Linked DNA regions of Astyanax mexicanus. The protein of the gene in region 1 binds, or shares a complex with, the protein of each later gene. Links are inferred from orthologs where the notes say so. Each region holds a gene or a part of one and is shown on either strand. Other genes may lie near its edges.

Evidence for each region.
Region 2: the proteins of ints2 (region 1) and ints7 are in contact, whole or in part, in a cryo-EM structure (PDB 8RC4), measured with the Homo sapiens proteins. The link is inferred for Astyanax mexicanus from reciprocal best matches to the Homo sapiens genes INTS2 and INTS7. Residues at the interface, in NP_065799.2 of Homo sapiens: Gln27, Lys28, Val29, Cys48, Arg51, Met52, Cys55, Ala56, Ala58, Asp59, Gln60, Ser61, Trp64, Phe92, His93, Ala186, Glu187, Pro189, Ile194, Val218, Asp220, Ser221, Asn223, Glu224, Ser259, Leu262, Lys263, Arg265, His285, Gly294; in NP_056249.1 of Homo sapiens: Leu38, Gly39, Glu40, Cys42, Glu43, Val46, Arg47, Asn77, Phe78, Leu81, Cys82, Leu84, Lys85, Gln88, Gln89, Asn114, Asp115, Pro116, Val117, Ala120, Ile121, Arg124, Val153, Glu156, Val159, Phe160, Ala163, Leu195, Lys196, Pro199.

Annotation. Positions count from the first base shown.
Region 1 is NC_064427.1:13,881,844-13,892,363, forward strand, and holds the start of ints2 (integrator complex subunit 2), read right to left. Parts: upstream 4,906-10,520; 5' UTR 4,813-4,905; intron 4,535-4,812; exon of another isoform or gene 4,128-4,534; intron 3,338-4,127; exon of another isoform or gene 3,333-3,337; 5' UTR 3,332-3,332; coding exon 3,039-3,331; intron 2,587-3,038; coding exon 2,448-2,586; intron 2,214-2,447; coding exon 2,111-2,213; intron 1-2,110. UniProt on the Homo sapiens protein: Component of the integrator complex, a multiprotein complex that terminates RNA polymerase II (Pol II) transcription in the promoter-proximal region of genes.
Region 2 is NC_064408.1:86,006,045-86,016,076, reverse strand, and holds the start of ints7 (integrator complex subunit 7), read right to left. Parts: upstream 4,597-10,032; 5' UTR 4,486-4,596; coding exon 4,392-4,485; intron 3,645-4,391; coding exon 3,515-3,644; intron 3,220-3,514; coding exon 3,073-3,219; intron 2,805-3,072; coding exon 2,667-2,804; intron 2,337-2,666; coding exon 2,290-2,336; intron 2,183-2,289; coding exon 1,983-2,182; intron 1,731-1,982; coding exon 1,608-1,730; intron 1,402-1,607; coding exon 1,284-1,401; intron 1-1,283. Other genes in the region: dtl (denticleless protein homolog), read left to right, coding at 5,925-5,973, 7,780-7,905, 8,059-8,151, 8,366-8,427, 8,786-8,906, 9,183-9,248, 9,427-9,539, 9,734-9,807 and 1 more. UniProt on the Homo sapiens protein: Component of the integrator complex, a multiprotein complex that terminates RNA polymerase II (Pol II) transcription in the promoter-proximal region of genes.

The sequences.
Region 1 (10,520 bases):
TGTAAGGGTCGCCAGTAATAAATCTCAGAGCAGAATGGTAGATGGTTTGAGAGCACTGGCAGACGCTTTTGCTAGTATGGTTGCCTCCACTATTCTTTTTCTGGCGTGCACGGGTAAACAGGATTTATTCTGATAAAGGAATCCAAGCTTTTGTCTGCACTTAATGGCGAGTTTGTTAATGTGGGATTTAAAAGAGTTTTTTATCGAGCCAGATGCCAAGATATTAATATTCGCTAACTTGTTCAATGGTGGATCCTGTCAGAATAGTAATATTTCCAGAATTTAAAATAATATTTGGAAATCTGGAAAACAGCATGAATTTGGTTTTATTTAATTCAAAACCAACTTGAGTTCAAATAGAGCAGTCTGTAGTGTTAAAAGAATGTTGAAGTTTTACTATTGCAGCATGTGCAGAGTCTGCTGAGCAGTATAAGATTGAATCATCTGCATAAAGATGTAATTTGCAGTCTAAGGTAGAGGTGGCAAGATCATTGATAAAAATATTAAATAAAACTGGACCCAGGATTGAGCCCTGGGGCACTGCATTTGTTATGGGCTGTAGCTCTGATTTATGGTAACCAATAGACACACATTGCTTCCTGCCAGAAATGTAATCCTGTGCCCACAGGGTTGCATTATTGCTAAAACCGATCTTATGTAAAGAACATAATAGTAGATCATGATCAACAGTATCAAAAGCTTTTGTGAGATGAATAAAAATGGCAGCACAGTACTTCTTGTCTAGGGCCATGTATAGATCATTTAAAACCAGAGTTGCAGAGATGGTACTATGTCTTTCTCTAAATCCAGATTGATAGTTATACAGGATAAAGTTTTCATAGAGAAAAGACATGAGCTGGTTATTCACTAGGGATTCTAAAATTTTAGATAAACAAGACAGTTTTGAGATTGGTCTGTAATTATTTAGATCTGCCGCATCTCCCCCTTTATGCAGAGGAATAACATGAGCTGATTTCCAGATACTGGGAATTCTACAAGATAAAATAGAAAGATTAAAAAATTATGGAATATGTTCTAAAATAACTGGGGTTGTGAGACGAAGAAGGTAGGGGTCCAGACCGTCCTCACCTATTGTTTTCCGAGGATTAATAGAAGAAAGGGCGTTAGCCACTATGTATGGAGAGCTGGTCTGGAGGGGAAGATATTGATTTTCTGGGAAGCAGTAGTAGTAATGACACGCAGATTTACAGGTAGGTTTGAGTCAGTGTTATTAAATATCTGACCAGCTGCAGCAAAGTGTACATTAAAAGCTTGGCACAGTTCTTGCTGGAGATCAAAATACTATTGACTAGAATTTTAGTTGGGATTTGTTGGGAGTTGTTTTTGAGGAAGTTTACTGCTTTCCAGAAATCTTGTGGATTAGAGGAGCTGGTAATTTGGTTGAGGAAATAATCTGATTTGGCTTTTCTAATTGGAGAGGTGCATCTGTTTCTCAATTGTCTAAATGTGAGCCATTTTTCACCTTCCCCTGTGCATCTGGCTATTGACCAGGCTTTATTTTTTGACTGTAGCAGTGAGGAAATTTCTCCTGAAAACCAGGGGCTAGATCTGTCTCTTATTTGCAGTTTTTTTGCAGTGGCGAATAAACATGCTTCTTGCAGTTTTTTGTATGGAGCATGTTTATTCGCCACTGAAAGGAATGATTTCCTGAAATGTTTTAATGCAACATCCACATCTGTACTTTCAAAAGTTAAGTGAATTTTGCTCACTGCTAAGTCAGAAAGTAAAGCTTGTTCATTATTATTATTTTTTATTTCTTCTAACCACCATCCGAGAGCCCGTTTGTATCTTTGAACTGGTTCTAATGCACCAGATCGAACAATGATCACTAAAGCCAAGTTCAAAAACTCCAGCGGCAGTGATTTTATCTGTTTTGTTAGAAAAGATTAAATCAATCAGGGTAGATTTGGAGGTTTTTTTTAGGTTTGGCTGGGTTGACTCAGTGATCAGCTGTGAGAGGATGAGATCTTGTATCCATTAATTTTAAAAAGCATTAGCAGCTACAGTAAAAGCAGATTTACAAGTAAGCATATTTTACTTGGAAATTCCAGAAAGTACTCAGAAAGTAAACTGCAGCTACAATATCTACCTGCTTGAAGGATGCAGAGGACATCGGCTACCTCTTCCAGGTACACAGGACTCTCAAATAGCTCAGAGGTCTTTAGAAAAAACTCCCCATTGGAGTCAGCTACCTGTATAACAAATAAAACTGATTTGATTAGATATCTTGGATGATATAATCAGTTAAAGCTGTTGTATTCAATTATTAATATTATGCTGTTTGATCCATGTTTCCCCATAGCTCTAGAGAAACAGAATTTTACTCCACTGTATACTTGAACTCAGATGTAATGAGCCTCTCTACGCTTGAAATAAAAATGCACAAGTGGGTTGTTCATGTCCACACAAAACATTGACATAAGAACCTTGTTCATGATGGCCAGCAGCTCACTTAGAGACAGTCTGAGTCTCCTTAGTGGGTCACTGTGTTCAAACTCCAGTGTAAGCCCATGCTGCAGCTGGGAAACAAGGATACTCTCGCCATTTGACCCTCCAGCCTTATGCCTGTAATGAGAAGACAACACTTATTTAAATGGTTGGTGTGTTTTTTTTGTTAACAAACAAAAACATCTAATTAGGTAACACTTCCAATGAGAACAATAGAACAACCAGGGAAATGTGAAGTTCTATTTTTTGGACAATCGATACTATTATAAATATATACTATTAAAACACAAGGTCTCCAACTGTGTCCTAACGTACCACATTCAGGTTTTCCAATCAATTTTCCATAAACAAACCTCATAGGAATACTGCAAACCAACATGGACAGTGGAGAAAGTGTTTAAATGCAAAACTATTTTAGAAAGGCCTTTTACAATTCCTAAAGCACAATTTTATTCATCTAAACAGGAATGCATGTTTTTTCATCATTCATCATTCATGTACACAGGAAACTATATAGCCCCAGAAATACCCTAGCGTATTAAAATGTTGATGGGTCCTTGGGGATTCACCTGAGTTGCTGTTCTTTCCTGGCATCCTGCTCCAGGGCATGAAAGTCCACAGAAAGCAGTGCCACTATGGAGTTCACTGCCTCTACACCGGACAGCAGGCGCAGGATGAGCTTCTTATCCTGTGCCCAGGCATTGCTCTGGTCAGCAGGGGCACACAGTGCCATCCTCACCAGGCATGGCAACAGAAGCCTCAGCTCAGGATCACTCAAAGCTGCAAGGCGCATCACGTCCACCTTCTGCATGGCCTCAAAGGCATATGGGCTCACAAACTGAAGCCCTGAAGTTTCTGTCATTCTGCTCTGCAAAAGGAAACACAAGTTCACAGGGAAGTTACATGATCATCACCAACACTAGAGATTAGACATATCCAGTTAATTTGGCAAATTTTTAGCTGCATTCACACGTTTAGGTATTTTGCATAGTTATTCAATGCAGCGAGTTTTTATAACTATTTTAAGCCTACAGATAACGTGTCCATGTGGCTTGGGCAGCCCAGTTGAAAACCAGAAGAAAATCGTTGAAGTGATACAACCAGGAGGGATTAAACATGGGCCCCATCGTTGTTGTACACTGCACTGGTGCCTGTAAACAATAAAAACCAGCACAAACCCACTCAGAGCCCATGCCCACCTGAAACCTACCCAACCAGCCTATGTTCCACATGTGAAAGTTGACTTAATGTAATAAACCCTGCAGCCTAAAGTAGTCCACCAAAAAAGGAATCAGTCAAAGCTAACGCTACATAACCGAGCTAGGTTAAGTGGCTAGCTTGCTAGCTAACAATAGTAAATATAGAGAGCAGTAATTTTGCTAGTTACCTAACTAAGTGCGTCATGTTTAGTAAGTACTCGTGGTTGTGCAACTAAAATGAACTAAAACCATTTGCTTAAATGCGCAAACGTTATTCTTAACCTCGCTGAAGTCTGAAGTGAAGATAGCTAGCTAGCTAGTAAGCATAGCGTTGGCTGGCTAGTTAGCTAGCTCAGTCCAACACAAACGATAGTGGTTAACTACACCAGTTTTTAGCTACCAGGCAGCTGTGTGCCACGCTTCACTAGAATATTGTTTATGTAACTGAGAACTTCTTACCTGGAACTTTACAGCAGCTTGTAAAAATCTGAGAGACTTTAGCGAGGCCCGGGCAGACAATGCCGTGGCACCTCAAGCCGACACACTCGGCTAACAAGCTGGCTAGCAGTGAAAGCCATTCAACGAGATCCGAACCGTTCACTTAGCTCATGCACGTTAGCGAAGCCTGAAGCTGATCTACAGTTAACGAACCAGATTATTTAATTATTCCTAAAACAAGTAGCGTTAGCTAGCCACCACTGTTTATACTTCTATTAGTTTAAATTCTTCTGCGAAGCGCTCAGTACCGACTAGCTTGTTCTGTGAGCTGCAGCGCAGCGGATGGCCGGGCTAGGAGGCTAACAAGTACAACACAAGGCTAGACCTCGGGAAATAAAGCACTCATGTTCTGCAGATGACCTCGGTTAGCTAACCGAGCTGCAGTGGACGTTTGGAAGTTTGTAAACCCCTTTCATACATTGTGCACACATATCCTATGAAGCAAATCAAACAAATGAGAAATCTATTTTATTCAGGGAAATTGTTCAATATTACATACAAGTGCATTAAAAAATAGAATATAATTAAATTGTTTATTATTTCCGTATTTTAGTTATCTTTTCATTGCGCTTATTTATTCAACTTTTAATGTTGATTAGCTTACAGCTAATGGAAACTCCAAAATTAGAACAGTTACGTTACGTACGTCGTTTTAATGCCATACCAAAAAAAAAACAGTTCACTTCACACACTGGCTGCGTCCAGCAACTTTTGCTACTCCTCTCCTACCCAGAAGAAGGTGGAGGAATGGAGGGAAGGAGCTGTAATTGGGGAAATGGGACAGCTGATCCCTTTTAGATAGGATGTTGACCACCTTTGAACTGAGCCAATCACAACGCTCACTTTCAGCACATGCCGGATACTGCCCAGCCAATCACAGCTTCCGCATACAAAAATAAAAACGAGAAATCAATAAACACAATTCCAAATTCTAGAGATCATAACTTTGACAAGCATATTAAGCTTTAAAAGTACAGCCTGATGAAGGTTGCATATGTAAATATTAAATTATTTTAATAGTAAAATGTGATTACATTGAATGTAATAAAACAAAAAAACTAATTAATAAATAATAAATATAATAATAAATATATTTTTCATACATGTGGAAATGATGTGTATATTTACAACAATATGTTACATATAGGGTCATTAATATAGTTTTACTGAACACACAGCTTACCTAAACTAAACATTTTATTACTGCTTTACTGGCTGTTTAATTAGACAAGGAACCTAGTTAATTAATATGCTTATGAAGTACATTTGTGCGTTGTCTTCTCCATTCCCGCGTGCTCTGTGGGCGTGGATGCAGTGATGTCATTGGAAAATCACTAAAAGTCTTCCGGAGTAGGATGCACTGATGTAACCTCTGTTGGAAGCCTATTCGAGGCAGATTTTAAGCGGCTTCTTTCGTCTCCTACGGTATTCGGACAGGCGGCAAGATGGCGTTACGAAATCAGTTTCCGGGTCACGGAGGAGAGGAGGAGGACCGGTAGGAAAAAGGAGACACTTTTGGGGTTTCTGGACGCACGAGGCTGAAGTTAGCTTCTTATTCGCCAGTGTCTTATTCAGATTTCCGTTCATGCTGGCTGAACATACATGCGGCCGCCTGTAGATGGCGCATTTTAACAGTAAAAAACAGCATGCAAGCAAAGCGCTGTGCAAACGCTCTGAATAAAGGGCAGAACACATTGCGAAGTGGAATAAAATATGAATAAAATTAGATGATATTAATTAAAACGTTATAGCTTTCACTTTTGGCCTAATTCCCAGGCCATTATCTCGTCAGTCTTAAGTCGTCTAGAAAACTATCATACCTAATACACACTAAGACTGTCAAAATCCTAAAGAAGGACAAATATTGCTGTGGATTTTTCCACACTCATTTATTTTTTAAACTAGTTGAAAAACACTGATCAATTGAGGTATATTGTTCAGCAGCTTTATGTGGTGTCTTGTTGCACTCTAGTGGTCATTTGAAGAAACAACTCCAGTTCTTAAATTGGAAATAGCCTACATATAGTGTATAAGTTTTGACCTGATTGGTTAACATTCAGCCTGTCAAAAGCTTGCTGGAATGTGAATGTGGCTAATAGTGACCACAAAAAATGACATCAATTTTTCCTTTGTCGTCCCATTAGTACATAGACAATAGATGATAATTGCCAAGGCTGAACTTGATAGCTTGTATGGTTCTAGAGAAAGAGTAACACTCCTGTGGTGTATGTCTGGATAAACTGACAGGGTATCTGAGAATCATGTTATGATCAAAGGACTGAAGTGGTATTAATGTTAATAAAGTTGTAAGTGTTAGAAGACATTTTGCTGCACCATGGAAGGACTAATTTGCATATGGCGGACATATTGTTTATAAAGTTCAATATTTTTAAAATAATTATTAAGGCTTTTGCTTTGCTGAGCTGTTTGACACCAAACATGTCATGATTGGTCAATGAGCCAATGAGAAGTTCTCAAAAGTATGTTTTGCATACTATGCAAATTTGCAAAAAACCTAAGTGGGTGGAGCACAACAAGAATGACCAATGTGGCTGACCAGCATGACCAAGAAGGATAAAGATGTTCAACCAGCAAGACCAGCAAGTTCAAATGAGCTAGAGAGTTCAGCAGAGCTTTAATTTAAAATTAATAAATTGCAGTTGTTTCACCAAATGACCACCAGAGTGCAGCAAGACACCATATAAAACCTGCTGAGAATCTATCCATCTGTGAGAGAGAAATATGCTTATCATTAGATTTTTAATGATTGTAGAGAAAAGTCCGATTTGGCTCAACATTATTAATCATGATCAGGTAGTCTGTATATATATGTTTAAGCTTTTGTGTTGATAGGGTCAAAGCTGAGGTCTTTTAGTTTTGAAAATAGCAATACATTAGGCCTCAAACCTTCACAATCACAGTAGATTTTGTGGCCTTTTATAGGGAAAAAAATCCAATATGACTTAAAATTGGGAATCAAGATCATAATATCAGTGTATATATATGTATGTAAATTTGTATGTTAATAGGCCCAAAGGTTCCTGTCTCCTGTCCATTTAGGTTAAAAAATAGCGATAAATGGTAAAAATGTACAATAGTTAATTTGTCAATGTAGAGCCTCCTGAAGACTCACTTAGCTCATACTTGGCACATGGGATTGAAATGTCATTGTTTATTGGAGTCTTCAATACTTTTGACATGACATAAACTTTGACAGAGTTTCACGTACCTGTTTGATCAAGGTGTTGGTGCCACAAAAAGTTAAAATCTCAAGATTTTTTTTGATAATTATTTACCTCTCAAGATTGCAGCAAGGCCAATGCTGATTTACTTGGTTGAATATTCAAAGTTTCGAAAAGTGTAATTTTTACACTAATGGCCACAGATGAAAAACAATGCATTTTTGGTAGAAATATGTAATTACAAAGGCTTCAGCAATGCATAAAAATCAAAAAGAATAATATGCTTATGCTACAAGTATATTCTGATTTAACTGATTTTCTGCTATAGCGCCCCCGAGAGGCCAATCAATTCAATACTTTAATGGATGATAGGAGGCCCTTATTTACATAAAGACAATAAGTTTCGTCGTCATTGGTCAATGTTTAGCCTGTCAAAAGCTTGATGGAATCTAATAGCGATCACAAAAATTTTAATATCAAATTCTCTCTGAGAGTACCATTAGTAGATAAGCCCTCACTGGTATTTGCCAACTATGAGCTTGGTAGCTTGTATGGTTCTTGTATGGTTTTCCATCATTGGCTCCGCCCCTTGGGGGCATAGGGGAGACCGGGTATGAAAGTAACACTTTTTGGAAAACACCCCAAACTACCTATTTTTAAAAAGGTACAGATATGAAACTTTTTGACAAAGCACCCACATTTGTCTACTACAAATTATAACCATTTAAATGTCCTCCATTATATCCCATAACTTGTCAGATCATGTCAAATACAGAGTGTTCTTTTGTTACAATCATCCCACTACCGGGGTAGGTTGTAACACCTGCCGGGGTCAGTTGTAACAGATAAACAAAAATACAAAGAAAACAATGGAACTTCATTTCATTTGCCAATTTGTTTACTTATTTATTTATTTTATTTATTTACTCATTTATTTATTTAGTGCTAACCAAAAATTCAATTGAATTTGCTCAAAAAAGGACTGACATATCCAACACGTGGAAGGTCCTTTGAGCCCTGGTCTTTTAAAACCTTGAATTTTTCTGTAGTATCTGTACAAAGTGACTGATTGTCCGTTCTTAACCTCCTCTGCTGCTCTTTCTAGAATTTTGGCATCCACTCCTCTTTCTGTTTTCCTCACCCATTCTAGGCATTCTGGAGAATTAAAATCACAAAAAAAACTATAATGTTAATGCCCGGGGATGGTTGTAACATTTCCAAAAAGTCTTGTTACAACCTACCCCACCCCTGTCATTCTTTGTTTAGCTAGCTAAATAAGCATGGTGCTTTAACATTAGCAAGAGACAGTTACACCATTCATTACTCCATAAACTGTACTTTCACCTGATATAACACTTACAACATTAACAGCAATTGCAAAAGACAAAAAATAAAAAATAAAAATACTTTATCTCAGAATTTAACTTTTCCTTGTAGTTTGAAGATAAATGATGTCGGTGGCTTGAACATTTCCTTGGACTATCGGAATGACAGTCTCCCCTATGTCTACATGATTTGACCAGGTACCTCAAAATCATGCTAGTAGGTCTGAAGTGGGTTTACTGTCAGGTTAAGCATTCAATGTAACTGTAAGAGTTAGTTTGGCTGTGCCATGGTAATACTAATTTGCATATGACGAACATATTGTTTGCAAATTTTAACTTTTTTGATAATTATTAAGGTTTGTACTCTGCCGAGTTGTTTGACATTAAACATGTCAGGATTTGGGACTAGTTTGCCAAAGTAGGTTTTGCATATTATGCAAATTATTAATTGGGCGGAACCTCATAGCCTAATAAGCCTAAAAAAAGAATTTTGTCAATAGAACCTATGGTTCAGGAGTCAAAACTTAAACGGCTTTGCTATAGTGCCAATGAAGGTATGCTTTAGTGGTTGCGTCATTTTACACCTTCACACTATAGCACGTAGTTATTACGAAAATAAAGACGTAACGAGAATAAAGACGTAATATTACGAGAAAAAAGTTGTTATATTTTGAGACGTAATATAACAAGAAAATAAAGTCCTAATATTATGAGAATAAAGACATAATATTACAAGAATAAAGACGTTATATCACGAGAATAAAGACTTAATATTATGGGAATAGACGTAAGAAATTCTCATAATATAACATTATTTTCGTAATGTAACGTCTTTATTCTCGTAAAATTACATCTTTATTCTTATAATATAACAAATTTGTTCTTGTAATTATTTTGTCTTTACTCTCGAAGTGAACTGTTTGTTTTTTTGGTATGGCCCTAAAACACCATATGGTCCATTCCACTGATTGGGTGCCATTTGCTTGTTTTTTTTTTTATCTTTTTTAAATCTCTAAATCTAATAACACATATATATTCAAAACATGTACTGGTCATTCTTGTGCAGCTTTTTTTTTTTTTTTTTTTTACAAAGTTCGTAAGAAATCTGTTTCATAAGAAATCCGGTTGTGACCCTGTCATTGGCTGCTGGGAATAAACCCTGCCCATTAAGGTCATTCCACTCACTCACAACAGCACAACCGAGAAGGGTAAAGCTGCAACCCCAGAGACTGCAGTTTTAAGACCACAGTTTCAGGACTGCAGTTCCAGGACCCTATGTTTTTGTGACACTGCCATCTATAAAAAGTGGTCGTGGACACAGTGGATTACAGTCGGAATGTGAATCAAGTTATAGCTTAAATTTAATGTATTAAAATATTCAGATGTTTTGAATTAGACATCAATGTAATCTACACAGGATGTGACTATATCCGTAACCTAAAAAACATTACAAGCAACTAATATTAATTTGTGTTAGTCTAGGATAGCTTGCTTCAAAACATCCATTAGCCTGTTGTTTATATTTTTAATAAAAGCATAGCGATAGGATAATTAGTTCTGCTTAGCACATAGATTGAAATATAAAATGACAAGTTTATCATTTTGAACAATACGTGTTGTCATTTGTAATAGTAATTTTATTAACATTTTCAATTTTAGTGATTATTCTGTCTGTTTTCAAGATGCATATAACAATTAGGTTATGTTTGTACCATCTTTAATATAAAAGCTGCATGTAAATTTTGAGAATAAAGTTGTAATATTACGCGAATAAAGTTGTAACATTACGAAATTAAAGTCGTAATATTATGCGAAATAAAGTCGTAATATTACGAGTTTAAAGCCGT
Region 2 (10,032 bases), on another chromosome or scaffold:
GTCTGGGCAGTAAGGAATACTTTTTTAGTAAAACACTAATATTAAAATAAATACAAATATCATTAACAAAAATGTTTTAAGAATTTATGTTCATGTGTTTATTAAACCATCTATAAATCTCTACTTGTGGGTATTATTTATAGTTATCATCATAACAGCTGGTTTGTTAAATTAGTGCTTAATAATGCTAAATCACGTGAGCTCGTAATAAAGTTTAACAAATGCTGACTGTGTGCATCCAGGAGAAATCTGGAACCAATCTTTTTTTTCCTTCTTCAAAAGATCTTAACTAAATGACAATGAGAAATTTCTATTCCTTTTTATTGTATTACAGAGACAAATCATAATAAATAATGTGTTTTGGTGCCTAGAACATCTGCACATTACTGTATCTTTATTAATTTTTTTTATATTGTTTTTTGTTATAAACAGGTCAGGTTTTGGTCAATGTTTAAATGTTGCAAGAAAATCCATTGGAGTGACTAAATCGTCTAAATTTTTACTTTTATAATATTAAGTTCTCTATTAGAATGAATATGGAAACATTAACAGAAATATGCTGTGATGAAGCACATAATACTACAGACAATATCAGAACATTACTAGAGTTTATTACCTAATACTACACAAGAAAACATTACCATAGCAATTAAACAATTTACAAAAGGTCTGTTGGTAAAAGCAGTACTTCTATGCAATACTATTGACCACACCATGCCATAAACATTCATTACTGCCTTCCCTTCTCCCAACACACCTGATTCAACTAATCAGCTTATTAACAAGTTGTTGCATTTTAATAAGTTGTGTTCCAAAGCCTAGGATGCAGTCAAAGTAGGCCAGGTCCTATGAAGACCTTAGATCCTTCTAAGTAGCCTATTGGTCACACATGGAACAGTCTAAGAAGGTTTCATGGTAATGTCACACATGATAGTCACATGGTGATAATGTGGTGCAGAACTATTTCTTTCACATTGTATGTGCACAATGAATTGTGGGTAACCAAGGACCATTAAGGATACATCATGCTACATCATTAACGGCCATTGAAATCGCTCCGAATGTTGGCTGCATTTCTCGGCTGTATACAAAGGAGCCATTATTTTAAAACAGCCCTCAGGTCAGGTCAGGATGGTGCCAGAACCAGGACACTGGTACAACCTCAAAAAGGGTTCCACTGTTGATTCTAAGGACCATTTTCAGTAGTATATCTTTGTATATCACACACATATATGCACACATTTGTTTATACAGTGTAGAAATAAAGGTTATCATCTTCTTACCTGTAGCTGAGCTAAAGTACTGTTTTATGGCGATGGTTCCAGAAAGAGTGGAAAGGACTGAGGCCATGCCCAGCTTTAGAGTGTCATAGGGGGTGCTCAGGGCACACTCGCACATTGTCTACAACATATACAAATATACAGACACACAGATACAGACAGTGATTTGAACCAGAAAAGCACAAAACTGAGCAAGAATATCTCCCATATCTCATAAAACAAAACTGGTCAACAGCACTAGAGTACTTCTGTGGCAGTTCTAACATACATATACACAGTTCTATTAAAATGTAATCCCTGCTTCAGTAGAAGTATGCAGGATTTTACCTGTATGTTCTTTTTTGTCCATGTGTGAGGAGCTTTCTTGGCCAGCAGTTTTAGGTCCTGCAGAGCAAGCCTTTTCACTGCTTTTCTGGGGTCATCCTTCAGATACTGCAGAAGCAACTGAATCTGCAAAAAGATAAATAAATAAATAAATGTAGCCTGGATATTCCACATCAGCATCAGCCAAGATGAGAGGCTTTATGGTTCAATCAACAAAACATTTCCAACATTCTCTATTGTCTTATGAAAGAGAATGGTGTAATGGTATTTATAAATTAAATCAAATAATACAATTATCATAACGTTACAATATAACTTTTTATAAGGCTAACCGCAGAATGATCATGTGCATGCTGAGTACAGTATTTGTAATCAGACCTGTTTGGGGATTTCGATGAGTGAGGAAATGGCCAGCTGGGTGAACGTGTGCAGGCTAACAATGACCATGGGGGTGGATGGATATGAGGACACCAGCTCCTGCAGCAATTCCCGGCTACTGGAGGCCAGAGCAGCATCATGGTGCATGTACTGCAGCATGGGGATCAGCTTTAGCTTCAGATCCACTGGAGTGTCCAAACCTAAGAGAGAAAAGTGCCAATTTGTAAATGTTAAACACACTGGTGTTAAATAAAAAAAGAAAATAAAACTGCACAACTACATCCACAGAATCAAACAAGGGAATTACCTTGAATCATCTCACTGATCTTGTTGCAGATACCTGCTGCAAAGTCTCTGAAAGTGAGAAAATGAAGAAAAAAGGTAAATCAAATCTGCTTTCAGTCAAAAATATAACTCAACTCTATAAATCTTACCCTATCCCAAGTGCATTTGTTCAACCAAGACATTTTTGGCTATTAAGTAATCTCATACTGATTGTTTGAGTTGTGTTTGGGACTATTTGACATACTGATTTAGCTAAAAAAAATACTAACAGCCAAATATGTTGGTATTATTGATCAATTTTATACAAAGTGTCTTGTCAAATTTAAACTAATGGAAATAGTGTCATTTTCATGTATTGGTCAAATATTTCTTTACAACACTGTGTCTGCATGATCTTACTTTGACTGGGATGAGAAGCTGGCAGCTGCAAAAATAGCCGCTTCCACTTCAACGTTATCATGAGAATCCAGACTCTGGCGGATACTGTGATGGGCATTTTTCCTCTCAGGGATGATGGATGCGAGACTGCCCAGCATTCTGTCATTAAACATTAAAAAACACTTTAAAGCTACAATGGTCCTCAACTTTATTTAACCTTTAGTCACAGATGATAAATATTACAGTCATAGCTCAGAAAGAAGTGCCATTTGTGGAAATGCAGATACAATTTTAAACCACATGACATTTGTGTTTTTAAGTAGAATAGTAGACTGTTATTTGTGTGTGATAAAAAGCACAATACATTGTCTGTGCAGCTTGGTTAGCCAGTTGCAGCTCAAATGCCTGCAAAATAATATTTCCTTACCTAAGAGTAATAGCTCTGGCCACAGGGTCATTGCTATGGATGACCGAAAAGACACGTTTAACGAACTCGTCCACATTTAGAATCTTCTCCAAGTGCTTTTCACTTTGCTGGGTCACTTTAAGTACACAGAGCCGCAAGAAGTTATTCCTGAGGAAACAAAAAGACAAAAGTATTTTTTTTACATTACAGATTACATTAGCTTAAAAAGAAAGGAGTGTAAAAATGACTCCCTTCTTCTGCAACTAAAGAATAGAAAAAAAGTTTTTAACATAAAGTGCAGTGTTATCCACATGGAAATTCTCTGAGTAACTTCCTAATATCAACATATTTCCATACTTGTGTTATTATAATGATGTAAAGGTAACTCTTGGCCAAGAACAAAGTAAGGTAATCTTTCCTTATGTAGATTTCAGTTTTAACACATATTTTCCATTGTACATACCCCAGTCTGAAAATGTCAGCCAGTTTGAGAAAGGCAGAATTGATGAGGATAGGGAACGGATATTTCTGGAAAAGTTTAGGGAAAAGGACCACAGCTTCACACTGTTCCCCCAGTTTACAGGATCTCAGTCCTTGGGTTGTCACCATATAAATGAGTACAGAAAAAAGAGGAAATTAGCAACATAAAAATGAATAGAGCCATTGAACATGATAATATGAATGTACACATCTATACTGCAATAAAACAAATTCGTGTAGCTTAATAACATTGTTTATAATTGTTTATAATTTTTTATCATTTAGTTTTGGGCATGATAAGTTCGTAAAATCCAGCTGATTAACACATATTTGCCTACAGTAGTTTCGTTCCACCCAGAGTTTCAGCTCAGACTACTTCAGTAAAGAGGCATAATATGTGTTAAACAATTAGAACAGAGCTAATTTACATAAGTCTTATTAAAGGTGCAACATCAAAACCTGTCTGTTTAGTTCTAAAGGATATAACACCCCCTTAACAATCGCTATGCAAACTAATGAACTGAATCATGTATTACTATTTTGAATTTAATTTAATATTTATGAACAGAGATCTGTATGGATAACTTTAACACACTTTATTACTAAATCAAGACCCTGCAGTGTACTGTTCTTCATAAATAAAGTACTTCTCCAGCCAGGGTGTGACTGATATTCTGCCTATACTGCCCTATATTTAACAGTTGTGCACTATTTTTATTTATGTGAAATAAAACAGCTATGCTAGGCTAGGCTAGGCTACACTGAACAGAATGGGGGAGAGGCTAATCGCTCGGTTGCTAATCAGACACCGTTGCTAAAGCTAAGCTAACGCTAGCCGCTGTTAGCATTAGCCTACAGACCTTTGTCCAGCTCCATTAGGGCTGAATTAGCATCCAGCTCCTGCTCTCCATATCCAGCCTCCGATAAGAAAGACCGCGCTGTAGAAAGAGACATTTTTAATCACATTCATTTAAATTAAACCCTTATTTTAAACTGATAAAAGCTCCTCTACACATCCATCCTTGTTCTCGTTATCTTAAGTGTTATGACTCACTGCTGCCTCCTGCAGGCCGGAGATTCAGGTAACTTACACAAAAAAATAAACATCTGAATATACTAAAACTGACCCAACAAGTGTATTATAAATGTAAATGCAACCCCATATATCAGTGTCCAGTTGTCCAGACGCCTGTAGAAAAGCAAGCAGATATCCATTTATTGTTCTCTTGATAAAAACGTTTATTTGCAATATTATTGATAAATTGCTGTATCTGTGCTCTTCCAGAGTTTTATTTTTAATTTACCACATATTTTATATATTTCATCTGATAATTTATTTGTATATGCTGCATTGTTACTCATTACCAATGCCGGAGTGGTAGCTTTAAGAAGCTCCTTATCACTGAGTGAATCCATCAATCAAGCAGTTTTATAAAAATACCACACTGCTGCCTGCCTGCAATACAATATTTAAACTTTCCATTGCTTTCTAAAGTAACTGCATAACACAATACTGTACGTTTATATTCAGTTTTTGACTAATCAAGTTAAAAGTAAAAAAAAAAAAAAAAAAGTTAAATACTTTAGTACTTCCACTTAAGTCTGGAGTTTAAATTCAGACTAAAACATCAATTCCTAAGAATACGTCTGGAACATTGCTGTGAGGATTTGATTCCACTCAGTGACAACACCATTAGTAAAGAATACTTCAACTTGCACTCAAGTCACTTTTTATATATTGCACTTGTACGTTTAATCAATTCTGGGTCTCTACTACTTTAAACATGTATCTTTAAAACATGAAGTTATCATAGACTGTGTTTTTTTATATTTACTGAAAAGCCGTCCATGTCATTATCAGGCACTTAGATAGCTTTTATTATTTACCGCGCATGATCGCTGTCCACGCATTTTACACTATAGTTTTTTTGGCGTATATACATATGGAAACATACCAAATGACGCTGTACTCCCTATAAAGTGCCCTAAGTCATGAACTGTGGAAACTAGACCCACTTATTTGAGCAAATGCTGTACAACGTACCGTAGAGACTGTAGATACATTCATATTTACTTCTATTAATACATATTTCACGATCTTTGAGTAAATTATGTTTATTTCAAGCCCTACATAGTGCACTACGTAGGCATCAGGAGGCCATTTGAGATACAACCTCTTTCTGCTGCCCGCCATCTCGCAGCGTTTCTGAAGTGGGCGTGGACCATGGTCTCCGCTGACCAATGAGAAGTCGCGACGTCAGTTCGGCGGGTACTTTCGTGTTTCTCTGGCTTTGTGCTTCAGTTCGCGGGAAGCGGTGGGCAGCGGGATCTCAGTAGTTTTTAGGTTAAGATTGGAAAAATAAGCTTTAAAGTGTGAAGATCTTTATATCACTATGCTGTTTCAGTGCGTGGTTGACCGGGGAGTGACCAGGAGGAGAAAAGGTGAGTGGGATTGTGAGGATCTGCACAGATTGTGATGTTTTTCAGTCCATTTTAGAGATGTTGTAAATTGGATTAGCCCCTCCTGTAGCTAACGCTAGCTTAGCTAGTTTTATACACATAATTAAACATCTACCCAGCTATCTACAGGTATAACTAACTAACTACTCCGATCCCTCAGATTTTAGATCATTCAGGGTATTTTTGTAGCCCTAATATTGCTGTTTTAGTGGAACATCTCTTTAAGGATAAAACACAGTAGCTAGTAACTAGTAAGTTAACCTAGCGTTAAAAATTCTTAATCAACTCCAATAACTAACTTACCTACTACTAGCTGTATCTACTTAGTTAAACTGATGTGACAGAGTAATTGGTTATATAGATTGTTGTAAAAGACCATCAGCTAATTATATTACCTATATCTGTCTTAAAAATCTCAATTTGAACACAGAAACTGACACTTATGTCTAAATTTCATGATGACCAATATCTCTATTTACATTGACTTCCATTACAAGGTTTTCTATTTAAGGTTTTATCTCTCCTGTACAGTTTTGGAGATTATTAATACATTCTGGATCATTGACTATTGAAACAAGTTATTGGTATTTTTTTTATATCATAATATATATTGAAGAAAAGCGAAATGCAGTATTTGTACCCTATTAATAATACTGGAACTAGTGTGTGTTTATTTTGTAGTGATGCCGTACTGTAAACACCTATATCCATTTATTCAGCTGTGTCCAACAACAGCTTGTGAACTGTGGTTGTTTTTCAGTCTAAACTTTTTCAGTATATGCTTGCAAAGAAACGCATGTTAACCCTTGTATGCAGCCTTTCTGCAGCTCTGTTTCCAGAGCGCGAGATTTCCTCCCAGGCTATAGTTCCTCCCACTTCAAGGTCGCGTCATTATTAGGCGGAAGTGACTTAAACTGAAGATTTTTACTCTTTGTGAAACATGTTGGGTGATATATTTTTTGGTCTGGGTTGAGAAAGGTGGGACTGAAACTGTGGTTTCCCCATTCACTCTCAGAAGGAGGCAGCATAGCTCACAGTACTGCTACTAAGTCATCATGTACTTTTTTTTTGTTTGTTTATTAGCCCCCACTTTCATTCAGGACTTCTTTACTGCTGTGGTGGGATGCCCAGTGATTATATGGCATCTATATTCACGCCTTCCTAAAATAATCTTATAACTTCCTGTTAATCTTTCAGTTTTCAGGAAACATAAACATATGACAGTTGTGAATTAAACAGTAAGATATGTTGATAAAAACAGGAGAGTTAACATTTTTTACATTTTAACAAACTACGCAAAGATCTGAATGGTGAAAATTAGTTTAGTAAAGCTCCATCTTGGAACGCTATTAAAAATGCCTCGGTCACATTTTACGACAATAAAATAAATTACCAAATTGACTCTTGATATAGACCATTATCCTAAATGGGAAAAATCAAATGATATGATCAGCTAAGGGGGTCGTGATTTACCACAGGTGGTCGCGGAGCATCATGAGATGAAATAAGCAAAAATACTAATTTTTGCACAAATGCTGACAGATTTTATGGAGGTGCAGATTTCATTTTCTAGCAGACTGGAACTGCACACACTGCCAAAAGTACCGATTCATCTTATATAATATTCTGATGCTATTTTGTCTGCCAGTATATTGCTATTAATATAGTTTATAATGAAAATGTCTTTAGTTATTGTGATGGTTATGTTTACCATATAACCTGACCCTGAAATGCATAGCTCTATGCATCTCTCTGAATAATTCTTTATTTTTTCCTTTTTTAAAACAGTTAACAGACAAGAATATCCAGTATCGTCTCTGCTGGAGTGTTATCAGTGCACTCGTCATGATGAACACATCTCATACGGAAACACTGCAGTTGCTGTTCCTCCATTTGGATGTTCATTTTCCACAGGTTTGGCTTTTAAAGAAATCTAAAACCATTTGTATTTACTTTCTCAAATGTTTCTCCTCAGAACCTCCAGCCATTGATATACTTTTTAAAATAAATTTATATGAAACTGAAATCTTAGTACTCTCTGTGACTCTGTCTGTTTGCGTACTGTAGCTCCTGGACAGCACAACACTCTGGCAGTTGCGAATGAGGAGGGTGTTGTGGCCATCTATAAAACTGCTGAGAAACAAAGCTCAGTCCTAAAGGGTAAGCTTTAAATGTTTGCAAATAAATATTTTCCAAATATGTGTTAAATTTCAATATACTATAAAATAAAATGGGTTTCTATATTTTGTATGTTCCCTTGTTTATGGTCTTAAAAACCTGCTAAGAAACATATATTTTTTTACATATTACAGTTGTGTGTGTTTCATGTGTCTAAGCATTCAAAAAGTCCAACATGATTACATTTCTGTTACAGAATGGCCTGCACATGATAATGCTGTGTTTGATATTGCCTGGGTCCCTGGAGCGAACAGCTTGGTGAGTTTGAAATTTGCATTTGATCTTCAAGTAAAAAATAAGAAATTGGTTAATTTATGCCACTGTAATATAACTAGTAGGTAATAAACTTGTAGTCCTCCAATTAGTGTGGTTTTAACTGCTTGTCTTAATCATCACACACTGTACTCAAATGTGTGGGATTGTTTAATAGACTTTATTATGCATGTATTGCCTCTTTTATTAATGAACATTTAATAACACAGCAGATTTAAAACTGTAGTGGCTTCTTGGATAATTTCAGTTTCTTAACTATTCACTTAACATTGTAAACATGAGTTGATACTGTTTTTTTTTTTTTTTTTTTTTTTTTATTATTTATTATTATTAATATTTTAAGGTGACTGCATCCGGGGATCAGACAGCACGTTTGTGGGACGTGCTTGCAGAGGAGCTTCTAGGCAGCTTTAAGGGTCACCAGTGCAGCCTGAAGTCTGTGTCTTTCCCGAAACAAGAGAAAGGTAACCTCGAAAGGAATGTTTAAACACTGAGAATGTTTTGAAATTGTAAACTTGATTAAATCAGGTTATCTTTCTAAACCTAGTTTACCACACAGTTTTAATTGCATAAAATAAGTAGACAGATTTTCATTATCTAGGTTCTGAGTTTAATTTTAGACACCCCACTTTGGTTTATCACTACATTAAGACTGTCACTTACATTAAGTAGAAAAGGTAGAAATACCACATGAAGGTCTTTCTTTTTGGAGCTGACTGAAATGTTGTCATTTTCCACAGCTGTATTCTGCACAGGAGGCAGGGACGGTAACATCATGGTGTGGGATACAAGGTGTAGTAAAAAAGGTAAGAGTGGGCTCAGGGCTACAATTAAAAAAATGTACCCAAATGTTTTTTTTTGTCCACCTAGTGTAGGTAAATGTAAGTTCTAAGGAAAATAACCTTTATAGATGATTCCTGAAAGTCCTTACCCTGCACAAAGAGTAGATCTAAATTGTCTTTTATTATATTTTGGTGTGTACAGATGGTTTCTACAGGCAGGTGAAGCAGATCAGTGGAGCTCACATGAAGACAGCAGGAAACACACCCCAGAACAAGAAGAAACGTTCTTCATGCAGAGGAATGGCTCCTTCTGTGGTAAGTGCGGAATCCTCTACACTGGCAGCTTCACTCAGCTTTCTTAATGTTGCATACTTTCACAATGTGCATAATGCTTGACAGAAAAATAAATATATATTGTATATATCATGTTGTAATAGGCAATAAGAATTCACATTTAAGTGAATTTAGAAATTAATGTTTTTTTTTTTTTACCTCTCTGTCCATTGTAGGACTCTCAGAGGGGTGTGACTGTAGTTCTTTTTCGTGATGAAAACACGCTCATCTCTTCAGGAGCTGTAGACGGGTATGTAAAATAAAAGAAAAATGATGACCAAAGGATTTACTGTTTACAAGGGCTGGTGTGTTTTCCACTGGTAACTGTCTAACCCCCCCCCCCCTCTTTCTCTCTGCAGGATGATTAAAATGTGGGATTTGCGTAAAAACTACACTGCTTATCACCAGAACCCCATTCCTCTGCAGACGTATAAATACCCCGGCTCCAGCACCCGCAAATTAGGTACAGTAATCT